Linked DNA regions of Caenorhabditis elegans. The protein of the gene in region 2 purifies or fractionates together with the protein of the main gene of each other region. This does not show direct contact. Each region holds a gene or a part of one and is shown on either strand. Other genes may lie near its edges. The genes, in order: eif-2Bbeta and eif-2alpha.

What was found.
Region 1: the proteins of eif-2alpha (region 2) and eif-2Bbeta fractionate together in Caenorhabditis elegans (co-fractionation; one large-scale study listed by BioGRID). This does not show direct contact.

The regions. Positions count from the first base shown.
Region 1 is NC_003279.8:11,887,865-11,898,525, forward strand, and holds eif-2Bbeta (Translation initiation factor eIF2B subunit beta), read right to left. Parts: upstream 5,864-10,661; 5' UTR 5,857-5,863; coding exon 5,795-5,856; intron 5,750-5,794; coding exon 5,413-5,749; intron 5,202-5,412; coding exon 4,841-5,201; intron 4,112-4,840; coding exon 3,849-4,111; 3' UTR 3,712-3,848; downstream 1-3,711. Other genes in the region: Non-catalytic caspase homolog csp-3, read right to left, coding at 920-976, 1,019-1,255, 1,300-1,425; Y47H9C.8 (NACHT_N domain-containing protein), read left to right, coding at 6,135-6,177, 6,235-6,315, 6,378-6,610, 6,677-6,943, 7,005-7,113, 7,739-7,814, 7,867-7,980, 8,034-8,091 and 2 more; Y47H9C.12 (Mos1 transposase HTH domain-containing protein), read left to right, coding at 8,837-8,898, 8,945-9,101.
Region 2 is NC_003279.8:2,068,243-2,081,327, reverse strand, and holds eif-2alpha (Eukaryotic translation initiation factor 2 subunit 1), read right to left. Parts: upstream 8,649-13,085; 5' UTR 8,640-8,648; coding exon 8,522-8,639; intron 7,910-8,521; coding exon 7,362-7,909; intron 6,623-7,361; exon of another isoform or gene 6,622-6,622; coding exon 6,373-6,621; intron 5,342-6,372; coding exon 5,228-5,341; 3' UTR 4,403-5,227; downstream 1-4,402. Other genes in the region: pcyt-2.1 (ethanolamine-phosphate cytidylyltransferase), read right to left, coding at 19-215, 428-584, 1,971-2,064, 2,302-2,360; phb-1 (Mitochondrial prohibitin complex protein 1), read right to left, coding at 9,030-9,338, 9,388-9,504, 9,574-9,975; rpl-27A (Large ribosomal subunit protein uL15), read left to right, coding at 10,724-10,888, 11,121-11,276, 11,491-11,607; rplp-1 (Large ribosomal subunit protein P1), read left to right, coding at 11,815-11,985, 12,035-12,199; arl-13 (ADP-ribosylation factor-like protein 13B), read right to left, coding at 12,279-12,459, 12,501-12,823, 12,876-12,971, 13,018-13,083.

The DNA.
Region 1 (10,661 bases), 9.8 Mb from region 2:
ACAAAAAATCTATGAATTATTATAAGATTTATGAAATTTCAGAAGAAAATCAATAAATTTTGGAAAAATCCATAAAGTTCATGGTAAAGAATTATTTTAAAAATCGATAAATTATTGTAGAAATTTACGATTTCCGGAATTCGCATGTGCCCCTCCCCCTCTTACAGACGGTGCTCCATCCTTCCTATCGAAACGACTCTCTCCAATTCCAGCAAGAGATTGGTAGTTTGGATCGAAGGTTCCTATAATATATTGATTATCTTATCAATATCTTGCTTCTAAATAACTAACCAGCCAGTGGAGGTTTTGGTGCTGCATCAGCGGGAGGCAGAAGCTACAGGAGCTGCTAAATCTGCAACAGGTGTTCCAGTTTCAAATCTTTTCTTCCATTCGAAACACCTCCAGTCTACTTACTATTAGTATTTTTCTGAATGTGGAAACATTTGAAAGTGAGGGTTCCAGGTAGGCATGCGTAATACCTACCTACAACCTTTATATCTTCACTCGGGCAGTAGGCAGTAAGAACTGTGAGCCTTTACCAGCAAAATTGAGCTCCTTTTTTTAAAAATATTTTATGCCTTGTTCTTGCCAGCATTCTGAACTTTAACTAGTTTCAAAACAAATATAATACTTCAAATAGAACTTCAAATAAAACACTTTATTGACCAGTTAAAATATCCAGAAGAGTTGACAAACGGGCATTTTAAATATGAATAAGGCTAGCATGACATCGTCACAATTGATAGAAAATCCGATATTGGAAATTGAATAGGTATTGTAATTCATCGTAGCAGCGGGAAAAATGTGTGACAATTGAAAGAACTGTTGAAACTGAAAACATTTTAAATATGATAAAGCTGCGTCGAAAAATTGATATTACCATGTACTGAGAGCATACTGATCACCGAGGCCATTGACATCAAAACACGTCATTTCTAGACATGAAGAATAGCTGTTTTGTGAACCTCGACCAGAACTGAAAACAATTGTTATACCTTTTAAGTCTTGGCATGCCTACCTCAGGTGCTTGCTTACACACGAACACTACTTTATCTGCCTCATATTTCTCCACGACTCGTCTGTTGGTCTCCGTCAGAAGATCCGCCAAATGAGTATCTTTCGCGTTCTCAATAATCACTCGATAAAGCTCCTGAATATACCATGTGTCTTTGGTTTCATCTTTGAATGATAGAAAGCCAGGGGACGTTGAGAAAGAAACCAATAAATCCGCTTGCGACGACGAGGTTTGGTGTGACTGAAATGAGAAGAATATTGAGGAGATTTCGCCCTCAAACTTACTGGGAATTTAGATTTCATAAACTGGAAGAACTTTGGAATACGATCAAAAAAGTTGTCGATGAATCCATCACAGCGGACTGCTCTTTGCAAAAAGAAAGCAAATCCCCCAAGTTTTCCAAAAAACATTCCAAAAATTTTAATTCCAATTATTCAATTTTAGAACTCTTATTTTGAAAGTCTAAACAAATTCAAAAGTTAAAATTTCCAACGCTTTCAAAGAAATGCGCTGAATTTCTTGTGTTTTTCAAAGCCCGCTCACATACCAGAGAATCCAGTGGCGTTTGAGGCGGGGTCTTGAGTGAGTGGCGATGAAGAGGCTGTGGGGCCCGGATCAGCAATTGACGGTGTCGGTGGAGCCTGGGGAGACGGAACATCTGTAATATTTCTTTTGTCCTTTTCAAAATTTTTAAAAAATTAAAAATAAATTACACCTGAAATTGACTTTAATTTCAAGAATTTGCAAAAAGAAAGCTCTATTAATCCTCCACGTTTTCCAAAAAAAAAAATTCCAAAAATCTATAAAGATTCTAGAAAATTCCTAAACTTTTCAAATTTTTCAGACAATTATTCATTTTAAAACTCTAATTTTGTAATTCTAAACAAATTTCAAAATTAAATCTCTAAAATTTCCAAAATTTTCAAAGAAATTCGCTGAATTTTTTGGGTTTCTCAAAGCCGGCTCACATACCGTTTGATTCGAATTCAAATTCATCAACTGCTCCTCTTCCTTCCTCATCCTCATCTGATTCGCTCAACTTCTCCTCCTCATCCGATTCGACCTTATCTGATTGCTCCAGAGCTGCTGTAAAGAATTACTGTTATTTTGTGTTACTAGGTTCATACCCTTATACGTACCTTTTTTTCTCGCATATCGGTTTCGATTTTGTTCCGCCAATTTCTGCGATTGGGTTCTCCGTGGGCGATCGAAGCCGTCTGAAACATGATTGCTACATATAATTTAAAAAATACTTGACACTTTTTTGTAAAGATGTCAAAAACTTTTTGTGGTGGTTCCAAAAAATGGCTGAAGTTAGCTAAAATAACAAGTTCACTGTCAGAAAAAAACTTACGCTCTTCTACCCACTTTCTTTCTCTGGCTTTGTTCTTCGTTGCTTCCTCTTCGAATTTCTCCTTTGCTCCCTGGCGCCGAGTGGGCCCGCCTGAAAAATTTCTTAAAATAAAAAAATATACCGAAATACTTTTTCTATTGTAAATTTCTGAGCAAATGAGAACTTTTTGGATATAAAAGTTCCGCATTTTTTCACGAAAATCCTGAGGTTCTTAAAAACTAATTATAAATCTCAATTTGAATAATCTAAATTGACGTTTGAAATGAAAAAAAAATGACAAACCTCCTGCGGATTTTCGAGGTGCCTCCTCAAGGTTATCATATTCCTGAAAATATAACTTTAGCTTTTGAAATACTAGAAAAAGGGAAGTAAAGCATTTATTTCCAAAAAATTAATTTTAATCAAACAAAAGTAAGAACATAAGAGTCAGAACTGATTCGGGAATCCCTCCAAGGTTGGCGATGAGGTTCACGTGTCCAGGGTTGAGTTGTTCAAATTGGCGTGGCAAGTTCATGGCGTGAATGTTGTTGTTGTCAGACTCATTTGCTCTTTGTATGCATCGCATGAGAGTTCACGGCGGAATGGTTCACGTGGTTGTTTTTTGTTAGCATTGACTGGCTGTTGTTCCTTGAGCAATGTGCTGGATAAGCCTCGTGTTGTTCGCGTCCGTTATAGAGTGTATAATTATGCAATATTTATAAAAGTCGTGATCGGAGGAGATTCTTCTCCGTCGTATTCGCAACAAAACTCACTCTTTCTCAACTGCAGCTAGACCACTCGATACTGTCTTATTCTTCTTCTTCTTTCCACTTCAAAATTCTCCAAGTTTATTGTTCTTATTTTTTATTCCCAATTTCAAAAGGATCCGAAGTTTTGATAGATTTTCAATTTATTTTGAACACAAAACCCTGAATTCACGTGGTATCAGGTTGCCCCATCGCTCCACTGCACGCGAAATAGCGGGAAAATATTTTTGAAAACTTGTGACGTCACACCGCATTTCGATTAATTGTTTATAAATTTAAGCGTCGATTTCTGTGACTTTTTTTCATAATTTTTCAAAAATTGTATTTTGTTGTATTTTGCTTCAATTTCTCCACTTAACTTGCTAATTTTTCCGAATTTCGGTGAAATATCAATTTTATAAATTATAAGAAAAAAATTTAATGAAAATCGACTCTTAAATTGCAAACAAAAAATTAATCGAAATGCGCTGTGACGTCACAAATTTTCAAAAAATCGTTTCCCGCCTTTTGTGTGCAGTGGAGCGATGGGACAGCCTGACACCACGTGTGGATTCTCCCACTCTAAGAATCTGTAAATTTGAGGAAAGTCACATCCAAATTATAAAATAATTTACTGAAAATTGAGAGGCGCAAAACAAACAAAAAGAAACAATAATTTGACGAAAAAAGACCCAGAAAAAATGGAGAAAAACGGGGGGTACAAGTTATGAGGCTAGAAGAAAACGATATAAAATTAATAATCAGCAATATCCTGTGAATGATAATAATCTTCCTTGAGACGATTCACATGAGACGGAATAACGCATGAAGTATTCGAGACAAAAAGGGTAACCAAATCAGATTGAAGACAATCAAATGCCGGATGAAGACAGTCTACAAGGCCTGCTGATTTGGCTGATAGATCGAATGGAAGGGAATTCGAGCGGAATGTGTGCAGGGAATCCGGATTTGTCATGAAGAATGGACACAGTTTGTAGAATGGAGCGAGCACGTAGACTGAAAAAATTGGAAAATTATTATTTTCCATTTTTTTCGTTCATAATACTCAAAATAGTCTCAAAGTTAGGAAAAAAAAAGAAAATCGAAAAAAATAAGTGATTTTTCAATTTTTGTTGAATTCCTTCCAAAATGAGAATGCTTTTTTTTTAATGGCCAGAATATGCACAGAAAATTTAAAATTTCTAAAACTCGATTTTTTTAGAAATTTAAATTGTTTTAAAAAAATTTTAAAATTTAAATTTTAAAATTTTTTTTAATTTAAAATTTTCTTTAATTTTTTTGAAATTGTTTATTTTATTTTAGAAATTTAAATTTTTTCTTTGAACTTTTTTTTTTAATTTTTTGAAATTTAAAATTTAAATTTTTTCTTTAAATTTTATTTTTTTCTAGAAATTTAAATTTTCTTTAATTTTTTAAAATTTAAATTTAAATTTAAATTTTATTTTTTATTTTTTAATTTAAATTTAATTTTTGTTGAAAAATGCCACTAATAGTTTCGAAAAAATTATAAAATTTAAGTTGAAAATTGATTTCTAGCTGATTTTCTCGAAAAATTCGCTTTATTAAATTTTTTCCGTTGATTTTTTTTTTCGGAAAAAAGGTAATTTTAAGCACTTTTTGAATAGAAAAGTCTTCAGAAAACGATTTTAAATTTTTTTTAGAAAAAAAAACTGATTTTTAACCGATTTTTTAGTCCTTTTTTAGAAAAACGGGCATTTTAAGCACCTGGAACACAATGCCTCTTGGCAAGAAGTGCAATTTGATGTCCACCAGCAGGTACAAGACATGATCCATCAGGGAAATAAGCAGCAGCGACTAGAACAACTTTCGAGGCTTCAGGCATCTTCGAGGCGACTTCATAGAGCTCAATTGCAGTTGCAAAGTCAGGAGTTGATTCAATATGTTCTTCTTCATCAACTACATCAATTACACGATGTTTTCGGCCTGATTTGACGGCATGTGATAGGAAATTGTGCATTGTTTGAGATGAACGAAGTGAATGAACTAGTACAACATCATTATTGAATAAAAGTTCCGTTGATTGAGATGCAATACATTCACGAGATGATTCGATTTCCGTTACTAGCTGAAAATGAAAAAATTGCATTAAAAATGTGTAGTTTTTGAATAAAAATTATAATTTTCCCTTTTTTTTGATATTAATATCATCGAAATCTACATTTTTTATGAGAAAAATTAGTTGAAAATTCTAAATTTTAAAAAAAAAAATCGATTTTTTTGAGCAGAAATTTTCATTTTTTAGCGACTTTTTTCTGGTTTCCAGTTCCCAGCATTACCTCCTTAATGGAAGCCTGAAGATCTTTTTTAATCTTCTTCATATCAGCTGTTTTCAGCTTTTTAATCGTCTCATCGTCATCTCTCCACAGCGTATACAGTGGCTCCGGCTCTCCGCCGCCTTTCTTCTGAAGAACTTCGTCTCGAGCCAATTTCGTGATCATTAAGCCGATATTAATAATAATGAGCTCCGATCGCTCGGCTCCGTGAAGCTTTTTGCAGTGATTTGCCAACGAAACTTGCAAATCGTTCATTGTCTTTGGATTTTCGCGGAAAATGATTTTTCTGATCAAATTCACTGTCGCAATTGCTATGGAGGAAGAGGAATCACGTGGAAATCTGGAAAATGAAGGAATAATTGAGTTTTTTCATCAGAAAACTCACTTTTTTCGTAAAGCAAAAATAAATGCTCGCTTCAGGTCTTCAATTTCATTGTCCGAGCTCATTTTGAATCTGTACGGGTTTAAATTTTATTTCTAATGTTTAAAATAAAAGAAATAAATTGAAAAAAAAGCAAGTTTTAACTTTAAAAATACACTTTTTGCCAAAAAAATGCAAAAATGTGTTGAAATTATCCTAATGCAAACGCGCTCCACGACTAACTTTCTCCAGTGTACTTCTCTCGAATCAATTTTTGTACTCCTCGTGGACATTCTTTATTTTAAATTTTTATCCATTTCTCTGTAGATTTTACAGTAATTCTTCCAAGATTTTTTTGTGAACAATGAATAGAAAACGCTCAAAAGAAGACGTGGGTGGGTTTAATGGTTAGTAAAACTTGTGAAAGCTTCGAAAAATCGATAAAATACCAGAAAATGCTTCAGATCTCCCAGCAAAGCGTCCTGGAACCAGTCAAAACTCGATACGTGCGGCACTTGAAGAGAAATTAGAAAGATCTCCGATAGGTGATTCAATTTTTAAATTTTTACTTGAGAAAGTAGAAAAATAATAATTTTTTTCATTTCAGAAGACCTAGAATTACAACTGGAACAGCCTGAAATTAATGTGGAAGAGGTCGGAAGAATCATTGCCGATGGAATAATTGAAAAAACACTGGATGACGAAAAACTGAAGGAGCTAACACTAAAATTCGCAAAAAATGTGCCAACTATGGCGAATATTAGCATTTGGAATCTGTCCGAAGAGCTGAGCACTGGAACAATTGATAGTAGACTTGTAGTCATTGGAAATGCATTTCTGGTACGAAATTCCAAGAAATTATCTGAATTTTCACCTAAAAAACAAAAAAAACTGGTTTTTTTTCAGTGGAATTTGCTCAAAACTTCAATGTCAAGCATTCGCGAGAAATTTGAAAATTATAAATTCAAAATTCACACAATGAGTGCCACGTCATCATCTCTACAGTCCATAGACTTCTCATCTTCACGTATCCGAGCCGGCGAGCATTGTATCCAGGAAACTGAGATTTTCCGGAAAATGGATCTTTTAGAAATCTATAATTCTGTGGTTTTTCGAAAAAGTGGAGATTTGAACGGGAAAAGCAAGCAGATTATCAAGAATTACTTTGCTGTGGTTGGAAAAATCAAAAATGCATTAAAAAAAAAAAAATGTTTAAAAAGTCGATTTTTTCCAGGCATGCCAGCCAAAATGCGCAATTTGGCACTACAGCCTCAGACAAAGCGGTACTTCGCACAAAAAATGGCTTCAGGACATTCCACCGCATGTTGTGCACACTTTGCTCCGTAAGAGCTCAGAAAAAAGCTCAAAAACCTCGAATTTCATTGGGAAAAACGCTCAAAAAATTCGAAAAAACGTCTAAATTTAGCGAAAATCTCAGATTCTGATTTTTTAAGAAGGCTAAGGCTTAGGCTAGACTTAGACTTTAGGCTCAGGCTTATCCCTAGGCTTAGGCTTAGGCTTTCGGCTTCTTCTTCTTCTTCTTTCTTAAAGAGAGGAAAAAAATCCCAGAAACTTCAATAATTCAGAAAAAAGAAAAAATACGGCGAAAAATGAGACAAGCCGGACAAAAAAAACAATTATGAATTTTTCTGAATTTTGTTAATTTTTGTAGTACATTACCACTTTTTTACTTAAAAAGTGCCAAAAATGTGCAAAATTTAGCTGAAATTAGGCATTTTTTGTAATTTTTCCGTCAAAAAATGTCCAAAAATCACCAATTTTGCTCTTTTTCAGGTCCATGTTTCGTATTTTTTTCAACTTTCAACCGGAAAAGTGCAAGAAATCAGTTTTCAATCGCTGAAACAATGAAAAATTGCAGATTTTAGCTGGAATTTGGCGAAATTTTAAGATTTTTGAGCTATTTTCTCCTTCTTTAAATCCAAAATCCACTAAAAATCTATTTTCCAGATTTCCTGATCTGCCTGGCCGGACTTGGAGCCCCGGAGCTCGACCAAACTTTCGAAGAAGCTACCGATTCTAGCGAGTAAGCCTGAAACCTGAAACCAGTTAAAAATTAATTGTCAATTTTTTTCCAGCTACGTGGAGTCTCTTGGCGACACAAATGGAGCCCGTGAGGTGGCATTTGAGACTCTAAAGTCGACCCGTGAACAACTTTGCTCGAAATTCCGACAATGTGTGACTGATGCTTTGTAGGACCCCCGATTTCTTCCTAAATTTTACGTTTAAAAATCGATTTTTTTAGGAATGAAGCCCGAGAAATGCCGTATAACACTGTCACAAGAGAGCTTATGGCGCCTCCGGTAGGGTTTTATCGATTTTTGCTGTGATTTTTTGAGCACTAAAAATCCGATTTTCAGCGCGGAAAACCAGTGGATATGCATCATTGTGTGACGTGGCGCCAGTACGAAAGCCTCATCAGACGATGCGATACGAATCCGTCGAAAGAGAATTTAGAGGCGAAACAAGACTTGGAGTGAGCAAATTTCCCATTTTTATTCGAATAAAAAATATATTTTCAGCTTCAAACTCATGTTCACAATCTACCAGCCACGTGCCGACGATGAGGAAGCGGAAATTGATGTTAAGAATTGATTTTTTTTTGTGTTTTTCGAATAAATGTTATGATTTTAAAATGTTGTTTTAGAATTATTGAACAATTTCAGGGCAGGCAAAAAGAGCATGTAAATTTCAGAAAACTGACCTTTAAAACTGATAAAACTTTGTCATACAGTTAGCTCGTTGCAATCTGCTCTCAATTTATAAAAAAAAAAGATTTTCTTCCACAAAAATGCGTTTTTTAACTTTTTTAAATGATTATTTTTCCCAGTATATTATAGTAATTGAGAAACGCAATAAAAATGTTCCCCGAGGTACTGTAGTCGGCGGAGTACGCAATACACTTCGCGGAGTGTATTGCGTAGCGTGCGCAAGACATCACGCGCAAACAATTTTTTGAAATGTTTTTTTGTCGGAAAACCAGTTTTTATCGCAATTTTCGTCGAAAATATTATTTTTTCCAGCTAATTTTCGGTTGAAACGAGCAAAATGTCTGCTGCCCGCTCTCGTCGCAATGGCAAATCCAAGGAAATGGAGGATTTGATTGAAAAGTTTGTTTCTTCCTTTGACTCTATTTAAAAATTGTAAATTTTCCAGGAAACGGATCCAAAAGACAATTCTCTTGCGGAATAGCAAAATCGCCACCAGAGCATTCATTCTGTCCCTTTATCTCCAAAAAATTCCAGTTTTGAAGGCATACGACACGTTTTGTGGGGTTCTCGGAGACGATTTGATGGAATATCGGGAAATTTGATTTCTGGTACTATCAAATTGGAAATGGAGATGCTAATTTGACCTGTAAAATGAGGTTTTTCAATTTTAAAGTGATTATTTCCATATAATAACTTTCAGCTACAACCCAAAAAGTCCGATTTTCACCGATTTTCCCGACACGGTTGTCCATACAGTTTTGGAAAAGCTATTGCCAGCGGAAAGGTGATTATTTTAGCCTTATTATTACAGAAATAATTTAAAAATTGTAGAATGGTGGTTCGAAATGTGTCCAAGAAGCTGAGAAATCACGTGGTGTCAATCTGTCTCATTGCGACTCATTGCGAGAAAATGCGGAAAAAATTTTCAAAAAATCGTGACGTCACAGAGGCGAGAGTTCATTAGAGCAGCTTTGCTGCATGAAATTTAGGTACCGATTTTGCAATATTTTTCTGCTTTTTATCGCATTTTTAATAGTTTTCAGATGATTTTTTCGAATTTAATTGCATCATTATGTTTAAATCGTATTTTACTTCATAAAATCGACCCAATTTTTCGTTTTTTTTCGCTTAATTTTCAGAATTATCGAGAGGAAACGGATTTTTGGGCGAATGAAGCCGTTTCATATATGTTTTCGATGAAAACGATAATGTTAATAAGCTTTACATGTACTTTTCGGTTTTATACTTTCTTTATCCGTCTTTTCCTTATCTGAGCAACGTTTTTTTCAGGGTTTTGTCCTTTTCCGGGCCGCAGTGAGCACGAACACATTGGAGAGTTCGAGATCGTCCAGAGAGAGTGAGAATTTCAAGTAGCTCTCACAGGTTTGTGTTGAAATCGAATTGCAAAGTGAAAAGTACAAATTTTGCAGGCCACACAATGCATGGAAGCCCGAGAATCACACCAATCACAACCGGAACAACAAGGCTCACCGTAATGGGATCACGAAGCCGAAGAAGCACATCTTCCTCTCCATAGAAGGAAGTCGACGCCAAGTTCATCAAGAACCTCCGTTTCGAGGTTAGATATAGATCCGGCGATCTTTCTTTATTATCATTGTGATAAGATAAGACATGCAATTTCGATTCCTCACGAGTACAACAAAAAAATTAATGTCGGGGTTTCATGATTTGCTTTTTTATAAATTTGTATTAGAACAAATATTTTCAGATTGAGCGACGTCGGCGAGCTGGACATTGTTGATGCGTATTTGGGATTGTTCGCAATAAATTGGCAAGAGGAGAAAGTTGTGAAAATCCTCGGAGCTGGAGAACTGCCTGCAAACAACAAAAATGCTGCTCCAATCAAATATTTGAATGATTTGGATATTCTTCTCGATGGAAGAATCATTTTCGCCGAATCATCAACAAAATTCGATGATCGTGATTCCATTCTGGATCTCTTCGAGCATCGTCCAAATGGTCGTCTTTTAATTTATGATCCAAGAAAGAAAGATTTGAGAGTGCTAAAATAGTACTAAAAGCGAAGGAAGCACATCTTCCTCTCTCTCTCTGTCGACGTCAAGTTCATCAAGAGCCTCCGTTTCTTCAGAAAGAACAACAAACGTCAGATCAACAAGCCCGTCGAGTCACTACGTAAGTTT
Region 2 (13,085 bases):
CCAATAATTCCGACTTACCGTGCTCAGCGAACGAGCTCGTTCGACGTGTTGCTCGATGTGCTCATCCTGTGTGTGATGGTTCTTGGTGAGCAGAAGCATTCGGCCAACTAAATCAGTTGTAGAGACACCACACGTTCGCTTACATTCTCTGTATCGTTGGTGATCCTTCACCTCTTGATACGTGTCTTTTCCGTCGGCGGTTAGAGTTATGTCGTCTGGAAAATTGATCTACTTTTTTTACACGTGGTGCTGTCAGAGTGTCTCATTTCGGCTTGATCTTCTGGTTGATCTACAAAAAATGCGGCAGAGTTTTCAACTGATTTCGCATGGTTAAGAGCGTGTGCTGACGTCACATTGCTTTTGGGCGAAAAATTCCCGGATTTTTTTGTAGATCAAACCGTGATTGGACTTTAATTAATATTTTTACCTCCGTGAACACAAAAATCACAATCATACTTGTCCAGAGTTTCGACTGTTGTGGCGTATGGCGCATTTTCCACAACTTCATCGACCCATTTAATGCCGGCAACCATTCGATATCGCTCTTGTTCATTGAATACTGGAGGTCCTTTATGTAGTCGAATCTGGAATTTTTTTTTTGAGTTAAACTACAAATTTTCCCCTGATTCCGAATATCGATGTGAAAAAATTCCAAAAATTCAAAAAAAAAATTCCGTGATTTTATATTTAAGCTTGAAATCGCCGAATTTCATTTGTGCCCCCGAATCACTTTTTAAATTCGCGCCCAAAGAACTTCGCATTGGAGCGCGCTTTGATTTTCTTCATTTAAATATTTCATTTATTTTTCGCCGAATTCAGTTTTATTAAAAACCAGTTTTATTCATTTTTGTCGAGTTTTTATCGGTTTTTTCGACAAAAATTAATGAAACTGGTTTTAAAAAACTGAATTCGGCGAAAAATAAATAAAATATTTATTTAAATTAAGAAAATCAAAGCGCGCTCCAATGCGAATTTCTTTGGGCGCGCATTTGAAAAAAGTGATTCGGGAAAAACAAATGAAATTCGGCGATTTCAAGCTTAAATATAAAATCGTGGGAATTTTTTTTGAATTTTAATTTTTTTCACATCGATATTCGGAATTAGGGGAAAATTTGGGGTCAATTAAAAATATTTCCCAGATTTCGGTACTCCACCTTTAAAGGTCGGAAAAAATTGCAATAAAAAAAAATATTACTTAACGTTTTTTTTTCTATTTCAATTGGAAATTAGAAACGAATATGTTTTTTTAGTCACTAAAAATGTTTTTTTTTTGCTAAATTTCGATCTGAAATTTAAAAATTTTTAATGATTACCACAATATACCCTAACTTACGATATATTTAGTGAAAAATATTGTAAAATATTCTTTTTTTTTCCATGCAACCCCAAATTATAACGAAAATATCCATTCAATCAGAATATTTACCAGATGCCAACTATTTCGGGTCTCGACGCGATCTCGAAAAAAATGAAAAAAAACTGCAAAATAGCTAAAAGTACAGTACTCCTTAAAGGGTCACACACGCGTGTTCCTTTAAAATTTTTGTCAAGTCACGAAATTTCTTTTTAATTCGTGGCTTTTAATAAGGAAAATTGAATAATTGAATTATTTAAACAATATTTTTTACCTGAACTATCGTAATTTAAAGTGAAAATTAATTTAAATAATTCACAGAAGTTGATTTTTAAAATAATTTATAGCCACGTGGTGCCAGGGGTCCCTGTCCCATTACGGTTTGATCTACAAAAAATGCGGGAATTTTTCTCCCATTAAAATGTGACGTCAGCACGTTCTTAACCATACGAAATGAGTTAAGAACTCTGCCGCATTTTTTGTAGATCAGCGTAGATCAAGTGTGTTATAGGGAAAAATTTCGCAATTTACGAGTTACGACTTAAAAACTGCTAATATTTTAACAAAAATTTGCATATTCCCATCTTCTTTTTAGGGAGAAAAAAATATTGAAAACCTCTTCATCATTATGTACTCCAACAATTAACTTCTGTCCAAACTGCTTAGCCTGCCGTAATTGATTTGCATGGCCGAAATGCACCATGTCATAACTGGAAAATTAATTCATTTTAAGGCTCAATTCACATGGTGTCAAAGTGTCTCATTTCGGCGTGATCTACGTAGAGATCTACAAAAAATGCGGGAAAAGAGACGCAGACTTTTCAACAAAAATTGGTTAAGAACGTGCTGACGTCACATTTTTTTGGAAAAAAAATCCCACATTTTTTGTAGATCAAACCGAAAAGAGACACTTTGACACCACGTGTCGATTCCAGCCAAAAACCAACCATCCATCAGCCCAAACTCGATTTCCTTTGGGCAGTCCATCTGGTGCTAATCCGCTCATTTTTGAACTGAAATTTTAAAAATAATTTTTTTTTTTAATTTAAGATCAAAGTTCAAATTGTTGCAGAAGAAAAAAAAATTTAAAATCACGTTAATAATATTTTCTCACTTAAAATTTTAAAGGTTGAGTACCGAAATCTGTGAAATATTTTTTATATTACTCCAAATTTTCCCCTAATTCCGAATATCTATGTGAAAAAATTCAAAAAAAATTCCCTGATATTATATTTTAGCTTGAAATCGTAGAATTTCATTTGTCCCCCGCATCACTTTTTTTAAAATTCGCGCCCAAACAAATTCGCATTGGAGCGCGCTTTGATTTTCTTCATTTAAATATTTTATTTATTTTCCGCCGAATTCAGTTTAAACCAGTTTTATTCATTTTTGTCGAAAAAAATCGATAAAAGCTCGACAAAAATGAATGAAACTGGTTTTCAAAAAACTGCATTCGGCGAAAAATAAATAAAATATTTAAATGAAGAAAATCAAAGCGCGCTCCAATGCGAATTTCTTTGGGCGCGAATTTGAAAAAAAGTGATGCTAGTACAAGCGATTTCAAGCTTAAATATAAAATCAGGGAAATTTTTTTGAATTTTTTCACATAGATATTCGAAATCAGGGGAAAATTTGGAGTCAATTAAAAATAAATTAAAACAATGTAGTCAACGGACATTGAAGAGTGACCCCGACATCACCCGATTAAATAGCAATCGGAATGAAAAAATGCGGAAAAAAAAAGAAAAAAATTGTGACGTTATCAGTTCGAAAAGGACGTCGAACCCGGAGCAGACCGCCTGTCATGGAAAAAATATTTAGTCGAGTTTTTTCATTTTCAATGACGAATTGTGGAGGAGTTTCTCACAAAAAATTCAAAAATTGCACTTCCGGGATTTTTCTACTCAGTAAGCCTAGTGGGGAAATTGCTTTAAAACATGCCCATAGGGTCACAATGACCGAATATCACGATAAAAAAATTCAAAAAATTTTCTAGATTTTATATGATTTTTTTTTGAAAATTGAAAAATCTCAGTTTTTGCCTAATTCCTATTTGAATTACCGCCAATTGAAATTGTTCGATGGAGCGCACTTGCATTATTTTTATTTATTTATTTTATTTTTCTCATTATTTCACTGATTTTATTCGTTTTTTGGGGGTTTTTAATCGGAAAAATAGAGAAAAATGCAAATTGGTCATTAAAAAATTACTGAAAATGGGTAAAACTGTGTTTCGACGCCAAAAATCCTGAAAATAGCATATTCCACAGTTTTACTCATTTTCAGTTACTTTTTAATAAATCTTATAAGCATTTACCTTGCATTTTTCTCTCTTTTTCCGATAAAAATACACAAATAATGAAGAAAATCAGTGAAATAATGAGAAAAATAAAATAAATAGTGCAAGCGCGCTCCATCGAACGAACCCAATTGGCGGTAATTCAAATAGAAATTAGGGGAAAACTGAGATTTTTCAATTTTCAAAAAATCATATAAAATTTAGAAATTTTTTTTGAATTTTTTAATCATGATATTCGGCCATTGTGAAGCAATTTTCCCACTGGGCGCACTCCACCTTAAAAAAATTTCATTGAAAATCAAAAATGTTGCCAATTTTTTTAATAAAATCCTTCCGAAATCTGAAAGTTGGTAATTTTATAGAAAGTTTTAATTATTTTTCTATTTTTCGCGTCTAGAAACTTCAAGAAAACAACACAAAATGACGTTTGGTCACACCACAAAACACATTTTGTTTGTTTCCGATGGAAACAAAAATCGTAATTTTTCCATTTTCCCCTTACACAAAAGAAAGGCAAATTTTCGAAAATTTGATAAGAAACTTGAGATAATCAATAAAGGTTCAAAAAATATTCCGGCGTTGAAACAATGGCAGTTGCCCTTCACCACGTGATCAGGTGACCTATGCGCACGCGCGCGGGTCTCCGAGGACCACCTCTTATCGATCATTTCTGGCGGGGGGAGAATGGTCAAGTATTGAACACAGAACGTCTGCTTCGTAACTGCTGGAAAAAGAAGCCTGCGATGAAAAACCAGCTCACTGTTCATAACGAATTGGGAGCCCACAAAAATGGAAAAAAAACGGGGGATGGGAGACAATAAATAGAAGGTCAAAGGTGGAGTATCGAAACCTGAGATTTTGCATTTTTAGACCCAAAATACTACCGAAAACTACCTAATGAGGCGTTTTGAAAATTTCTCAAAAAAAGGTTATGGCGGTTCAAAGTTCTGGGAAAAATAGCCCATTTTCAGCTAAAATCGAAATTTTTGCCAACTTCTCGGTGTCGTAGAGTCTGGAACTTAAGTTTTATTTAATTATCACTTTTTAAACAATATTTTGGTCTTTTATTAGACATTTATTCGTTAATGTAAGCACATTTTCGACCAGTGGGGGACAAATAAAAGTTACATTTTTGTGCCCCAATGATCGAAAAATCAACTAATCAACGTCTAATAAAAGACCAAAATATTGTTTAAAAAGTGATAATTAAATAAAAATTAAGTTCGAAACACTGAGACACCGAGAAGTTGGCAAAATTTCGATTTTAGCTGAAAAGGGGTATTTTTTCCGAAACTTTGAACCGCCATAACTTTTTTTTGTAAAAAATTTTCAGAACGTCTCATTACAAAATTCGGTAGTTTTGGGTCATTTTAGGTCTAAAAAAGCAAAGTCTAAAATATCGGTACTCCACATTTAAAGGGGGAAAGGAACAAAACAACAGAACAGATGAAGAGAAATGATAGTGCCAAAATTGAATAATACTATAATAATAGTCCAGAAAGAATCGGAGCCAATTACACCAATAAAAGCAAAAAAAAAACAATGGGAATTTTCAATTTTCAATTTTCAAATAATTAATCATCCTCCTCATCACTGTCTTCATCGTCGCCGGCCTTCTTTCGGTTATCTCTGCTGGCTTCTTCCGCGTCGACTTGTTGATCCAAACCCTTTGGAGCCATGAGTCCATCCTGAAAGAAAAATTTTTTTTCGTTTTTCTAGCTTTCAAGGTGGAGTACCGAAATTTGAGGCTTTGTTTTTTAGACCCAAAATGATCCAAAACTACCAAATTCCGTAATGAGACGTTCTGAAAATTTTTCAAAAAAAAGTTATGGCCGCTCAAAGTTTTGGAAACATGTTATATTTTCAGCTAAAATCTCAAATTTTGGCAACTTCTCGATGTCGCAGCGGTTGGAACTTAATTTTTATTTGATTGTCGTTTTTTAATGCATGTTTTGGCATTTTATTTCGTGTTTTTTCGTTGACTGAGATTCTTTATGGTCGATGCGGGCACAAATACGATAAAAGTTTGAGCCCGCATCGACCGAAAAAGCATCTCAATTAACGAAACAACACGAGATAAAATGCCAAAACATGCATTAAAAAACGACAATCAAATAAAAATTAAGTTCCAACCGCTGCGACATCGAGAAGTTGCCAAAATTTGAGATTTTAGCTAAAAATATAACATTTTTCCAAAACTTTGAGCGGCCATAACTTTTTTTTGAGAGATTTTCAGAGCGTCTCATTACGAAATTTGGTAGTTTTTGGCCATTTTTGGTCTAAAAAGTTTTTCGTGATAATTTTACACGAATTGGCAAGTAGAGCTTACACGTGATGCGAATCATTGATAAAACATCAATTTCTGTTTTTACTGCACTGAAATTCCGGCACAATAGCTCTCGTAAATCGACACAAAAGTAATTAAATCACTCCGCGGAAAAATGGAATTTGGATGATTCTGATTTTGAATTTGATTTTAAAAAAAAACCGTTAACCACATTCAAAACAAGAATCGAGTTATTCAAATTTCTTTTTTCCGCGGAGTGACTTAATTACTTTTGTGTCGATTTACGAGAGCTATTGTGCCAGTACAGTAAAAACAGAAATTGATGTATTTATCAATTATTAGTATCACGTGTAAGCTCTACTTGCCAATTCATGTATTATAAAATCATCACGAAAAAATGCTTGAAATCGTCTTAAAAACTCCAAAACTCACATCATCCTCATCCTCTTCCTCGTCCTCGTCTTCCTCTGATTCCTCCTCATCCTCATCTCCATCACCCTTCTTCTTCTCATCATCAATATCCGTCACAATTCTCGCCTCCTCCTTGATCGTGAATTTTCCCTTGAATCCTTCAATCGCATTTTTGATAGTATCCAGAATGCTGTTGACGGCCTCAATTCCACCTTCTCTGTCCAATGTTTGTGTGGTGACGACGAAGTGGGGAGCGGCGATGAGATTGATCTGAATTAGACAATTATTTTTTAAATATTTAAAAAAAAACAATTTCGCACTGCGCACATGGGCGTGGTTTATTGGAGGCGGGGATTCCGGCCGCAACCCTGCGGCGCGCTTTTTTCTCGCTTTTTGGGTGCGGTAATTTTCCTTTTTTTTCGTTTTTTTTGTCCAAAATTTCATGATTTCGATCGATTTTGGCCGTTTTTTTTTCGAATAAAGAAGTGTTCAGCTATTTTTTAAATGAAAAATAACCAAGTTTTCACATTTTTTAACCGAAAAAAAATCACCCAAATCTTGCACATTATTTGAAATTCCCCTGTTAATTTATCTTAATATTGTGAATTATTGTCATTTTTAAAATGTCCTTCTTGATAATTTGTATATTTAAATGAAGAGAAAGCGAGTTTTATCGTATTTTCAGAAAGAGAGACAAAAAAGCATTTTTTCGGGTAAAAACTGTGTTTAAAAAATAGCTGAAAACTCTCTTTCTGAAAAATATTATAAAACTCGCTTTCTCTTCATATAAATATACAACAAGTTATAAAAGAAGACATTGAAAAATGACAATAATTCACAATATTAAAAGAAATTAACCGGAGAATTTTTCGGGTAAAAACTGTACTATGAAAACTTGGTTTTTTTCTTCGAAAAAACGGACAAAATCGAGCGACATCGTGAAATTTTAAACAAAAAACGCAAAAAGCGAGAAAAAAGCGCGCCCATGTGTAAAATCTATAAAATGAAACCTTAATCGGGAAGGTTCCATTTGAGCAGTTCTTTCCAGCAATAAGTGCAGCCTTCACAGCATCAATACCATCATAATCGAAGCAGGAGACTTCAATATCAGCGCGAATTTTAACCGCCTGAGGGGTGAGCTTCTTCCTAATGTCCTCCAAGAGTTTCTCCTTAATATCTGCACTAATATCACACTCATCCAAGATCGTCGGTTCGGTGATCGCCTTCTTGAATGCGTCATATGAAGCTGCTTTCCGTTTCTCTTTGCGATCAAAGTGCCACGCGGTCTTTTGGTACAAATCCTCCAACTCTTCGTCGGTAGTGTATCCGACTTGCTCGGCCACGTGTCTCAAAATGCTGTTCACCATTTTGGCGTTCGCGAATCGCTCGTCGCACTGTTTCAAGTCTTTCTGGTAGACACGACGCTTCGACAGATCAATGTAACCTTTGTCCTTGTCGACACGGATCACGACGACGCTTTCACTTCGGCCGACACGGATTAGCTTGTTCACTGAACGGATACGACGACGGGAGAGCTCGGAGAGCAGGATCATACCCTCTGAAAAATGATTTAATTTAAAGGAGGACGAACGGTTCGGACGATTTTGAACGTATAGACTCAAAATGAGCTCAAACGAACGAATTTCGTAATGAAACTGCTCAAAAATGTTTCAAAAATTTTTTTATGGCGGTTCAAAATTTTGAAAAATTGCACTGATTTTAGCTAAAATCACGAATTTTTCCCTTTTTTCCGTGCCAAATCCTTCCTAAGTTAGCTTTTTTGGAATCATCGTCTTTTATTACATATATTGGTAGTTTATCTCATTTAATTTTACCGATTAAAGTATATTTAAAGCCGATAGGTAACCAAAAATCAACGAAATTAAATGAGATAAACTACCAATATATGTAATAAAAGACGATAATTCCAAAAAAGCTAACTTAGGAAGGATTTGACACGGAAAAAAGGGGAAAATTCGTGATTTTAGCTAAAATCATTGTAATTTTTCAAAATTTTGAACCGCCATAAAAATTTTTTGAAACATTTTTGAGCAGTTTCATTACGAAATTCGTTCATTTGAGCTCATTTTGGGTCTATACGTTCAAAATCGTCCGAACCGTTAGTCCTCTTTTAATTCGATTTTTGTTTTAAAATGATGATTTTAAAAACCTTTATCATTGTACTCGGAAAGCCGGACGTAGGCACCCATATCGGCAATCATTTTAACATTGGCGACAACGGTCTCCTCGACATCGGGGAATTGATTCTCGTAGAAACGGCATTTCATTAACGCCATCTGAAATGAGAAGAAGAAAAGTTTAGCATTAAAAAAAAAGAAAATTGAAAAGAAATAAGAAAATTATAAATAATGATTTTGGGAAATCAACCATTGAAAATTAATAAATTCCCAATTTCAAATTCATTATATCGCGAACAAATTATTCATTAGACGAAAATTTCCAACAAAAACAAGCAAAAAAAATGAAAAAGCTACGATACCTACACAAAATGAATGAAGGAAATGACCTACTCTAAACAGAACAAAAAAAACGAAATTTAAAAAGTATTTAATTGAGAATTCGGGCATGATTATTCTCGAAAGTTCAACAGAGTGAAAAAGGCTCTTTGAAAAGGGGAAAATGAGTGGAATTCGTCTAAAACACGTAACCGGAGATATTTAGGATTGAAGGTTGAGAAGGGTTTGTTGGTTTCCTGGAAGATAGGTGACATTCTTGTTCTTGGCCATACGCTCGGCGATCTCTTCGGCGGCCTCAATCTTTCTGAGCTCGACAAGTCCGTCTCCGGCAGAGGCAAAGGCCTTGGCAAGAAGCTTTGCGGCTTGAGCATCTCCTTCGGCGGTGGTAACGGCGGCGATCTTCATTTGTTCAGCCTTCTCGACAAGGTATCTCGCTTTTTCGGCTTCTTGCTGTGCGACTTGCTTCATTTCGACGGCTTCAGTGAATTCACGTCCAAAGTTCAAGTGGGTCTGAAAAATCATGGAAATAGCTTAAACTTCATAAATCTGGTGAACTTACAATTGCAATATCATCAAGGAGAAGTCCGAACTGTGCAGCACGTTCACGAAGAGCCACGGACGCCCGTTGGGAGACAACCTCACGCTGGGTGATCATCTCATGAGCATCGAATTGCGCCTGGAATTAATTTTAACAAATTTTAAATCAAAATCAGTTCGCAATATTTAAATTAAAATTTTTTCTCACCACAACAGCCTTCAAAACTTCATTTGTAATGGAAGGAAGGACTCTTTCTGCGTAGTCCAAACCAATGTTCAGGTAGATGTTTGGAAGACGATCGGGGCTTGGTCTGTGAAGGATACGGAGAGTAATGTTGACGTTTTGCAAGTCTTTACTTCCAGTGATGGTGGTGACGGCTCTCGGCGTTGACCGGATATCAAAAATGATTGGTTTTTGTACCCATGGAATTAAGAAATGAGTTCCTTCTCCGACGACCTCGTTTTTCACTCCACTGAATCGGTCGAAGATGACTGCTCGTTGACCTCCATCAACATTGTAAAGAGCAGTTTGTGCGATTCCTCCAGCGATGGAAAGGCCCACTCCGACAGTTCCCAAGCGACCCAAAAGCTTCTGTGCAGATGCAGCCATTCTGGTAAATGGAAGTTAATAACTTGGACAAAAAATGGGAAATAGAAAGAGAAATGAACGAGCTATGATGCAAAATTGATAATAATCCTAATTATCACGAAATTAGATGGATGAATTAAATGGTGTCAGGAAATCTAAATTGAAAAAGTGAGTTTAGTCGAGTAAAATTAGAAAACAAAAAATACTTCAAAAATAATTACGGAATGTTATAAATAATGCAACACAAAGTATTTTTCGACTTTCTCCACGAATAAATCGATAATAACAGTGAGCCTGAATCAAAAAGTACAAAATATCAATAACTTATTTATTTGCAAAATTATTTAATTAAATTTTAACTAACTTTTCTGCTTTTTTAGCTTAAAAAATCGATTTAAATGATGAAATAAGTTGCGCAAAAAATAAAAGAGTTTAAAGGGAGGCTGCATTTCATCGAGAGGGTCTCGCCACGAAATGCGCATCAAACGAGTGTGACCGTACCTCAGATTTTGGGAGACACACTCACTGAATTTTTGCGAATATTTTAGGATTTCTTTTTGTTCTCAATGGTTTTTCGCTAGGTTTTAATGAAAAAAGTGTGTGATCTGGTCGATTTTAATTATCTTTAAAGACAAAATTTGTATTTTTGTAGTAATTTTATCCGAGAATATCGGGAACCTTTCATTGAATATTTTTCTCTGATTTTTCTTCTCCATTTTCGATCGAAATTTGCCGCTTTTACACATTCAAATTGTTTACTTTACAGGGTATGGCTCACGCGTTGAGAAAGACAAGAAAGCTCCGTGGTCACGTCTCGCACGGACACGGACGTATTGGAAAGCACAGGAAGCATCCTGGAGGTCGCGGTAACGCCGGAGGTCAACATCACCACCGTATCAACCGTGACAAGTACCATCCTGGATACTTCGGAAAGGTATTATTTTTAAGGTACTTTTTTAAAAGTTCGTTGGAAATTATCCGCTCCTATCTTGGCGCTTCCATTGGTGAATATGGCTGTGTATGTTATAGGAGAGATAGTAGTGCCTTTTGGCTTTCGGATCTCCTTCGGTGTTTGTCTTGCATCTCGACAAATGTCATCCTCTGGGTTCGAGACAATTAAATCTAATATGTTCTTTATTATCTGACACTCAAACTTTAATTTTCAGGTTGGAATGAGAGTGTTCCATCTCAACAAGAACCAACACTACTGCCCAACCGTCAACGTCGAGCGTTTGTGGTCTCTTGTCCCACAGGAGGTTCGCGACAAGGCCACCGGAGGCAAATCCCCAGTCATTGACTGCACCAAGCTTGGATACTTCAAGGTGTGTTTTGAAACAAGTCAAACAAGAATTTCTCTCGTCTTGGCGCTTCCACTGGTGAATGTGGTTGTGTATGTTACGAGAGACAAAGTAGCGCCTAACGGCTTTCGGATCTCCTTCGGTGTTTGTCTTGAATTTCGACAAATGTCATCCTCTGGGTTCGAGACAATTATCTTTCATGACTATGAAACGTAAATTTAACTGTTCTTATTTTCAGGTTCTCGGAAAAGGACTCCTCCCAGAGACTCCACTCATCGTTAAAGCCAGATTCTTCTCCCACGAGGCTGAGCAAAAGATCAAGAAGGCCGGAGGAGCTTGTGTTTTGGTGGCTTAAGCCATGTTGTTACCTTGTATTAAAACAATGTTTCAAGTTGAATTTGTTCTTGTTGTTGAATTCTATTCACATGGTCTTTACCCATGCTTCATATCTTATTGTTTTCTTACCCTGGTCACTTTGTGGCATTAATACTTTCTTTCAGCGTTCTATCAAACGTTTGTTCTCTTTGGAGCTAAGGCAAACCGCGCAACTTACGATTGAAGAATGGCTTCGAACCAAGAACTGGCTTGCGTCTACGCTGCTCTCATCCTTCAAGATGACGAGGTCGCCATCACCGGCGAGAAGATCGCTACCCTTCTCAAGGCCGCCAACGTCGAGTTCGAGCCATACTGGCCAGGACTCTTCGCCAAGGCTCTCGAGGGAGTTGATGTGAAGGTAAGGATTTCTCATAAGTATATTCAAGTTTCACCCCGATTGTTTTCAGAACCTCATCACTTCTGTCTCTTCCGGAGCCGGATCTGGACCAGCTCCAGCCGCCGCCGCTGCTGCTCCAGCTGCTGGAGGAGCCGCCCCAGCTGCCGAGACCAAGAAGAAGGAGGAGCCAAAGGAGGAATCCGATGACGACATGGGCTTCGGTCTCTTCGACTAAAGATCTTGTTATTTGTTTTCAATAAATCTGTTAACAACACCAAGAAAGTGTTTATGGCTTCAAAAGTGAAAAAAGGAGGTTATTTTGGCACTACTCGATTGTTCAGAACGTTTTGAATCCTTTGTATCCGGCTATATTGTCGACCAGGCGCTTTTGGTGGCAAGAAATAGTTGTCTTTCAGAATGATAGTTGGCTCTTCTTTAACACTGTTAGATTCCGGCGAAACAGGCTTCGTGCTTGTTTGTGAGATTCTGCAAAAACTGAAACAATCGGATTTCTCAAGTAAATTAATGTGACTCACTTTACAGGATCTCGTGGAGTTCCTGTTTCAGGCGTGCTCTGAATGATATCTGATGGTATTGTCGAGCTGGCAAGCGACATCGGCGGACTTTCTTCAATATGAACCGACGCGGACTTCGGATCCGATGGAGGATCAGGCGGGATCGGTGGTTGCACAGGTGGTTGGTTCCGAAGTTCCAGGCCAGCCACGTCGGCTTTCAAAGCATCGTGCTCCACTTTCATTTGCATCAGTCTCCGTTGTTCTTTGGCTTCTTCCTGACGGATCCTCAACGCCAACTCGGCGGTTTTAACACCCTCGGATAATTCCACATAGTGCTCAGAAATCTGAAAAAAAGGAAAATTTTAAAAATTCTAGAAAATGAAATGGGAATCCTACAGAATCGATGAATCTGACAAACTGCTCCTGATACTCATTTCTATCCTTTTTCGCCCTCGCCATCACCGTCAATGTGGCACTTTTTATGTTATCAAGCTGAAAATCGGTGGAATTTTGAATTTCTACCTTGAAGCGCACTCACATATCCGTTATACTTGTTGAAATGCGAGAAAAGTACGATTTTGTGTTGTCCCGCCTGGATTTTAGTCT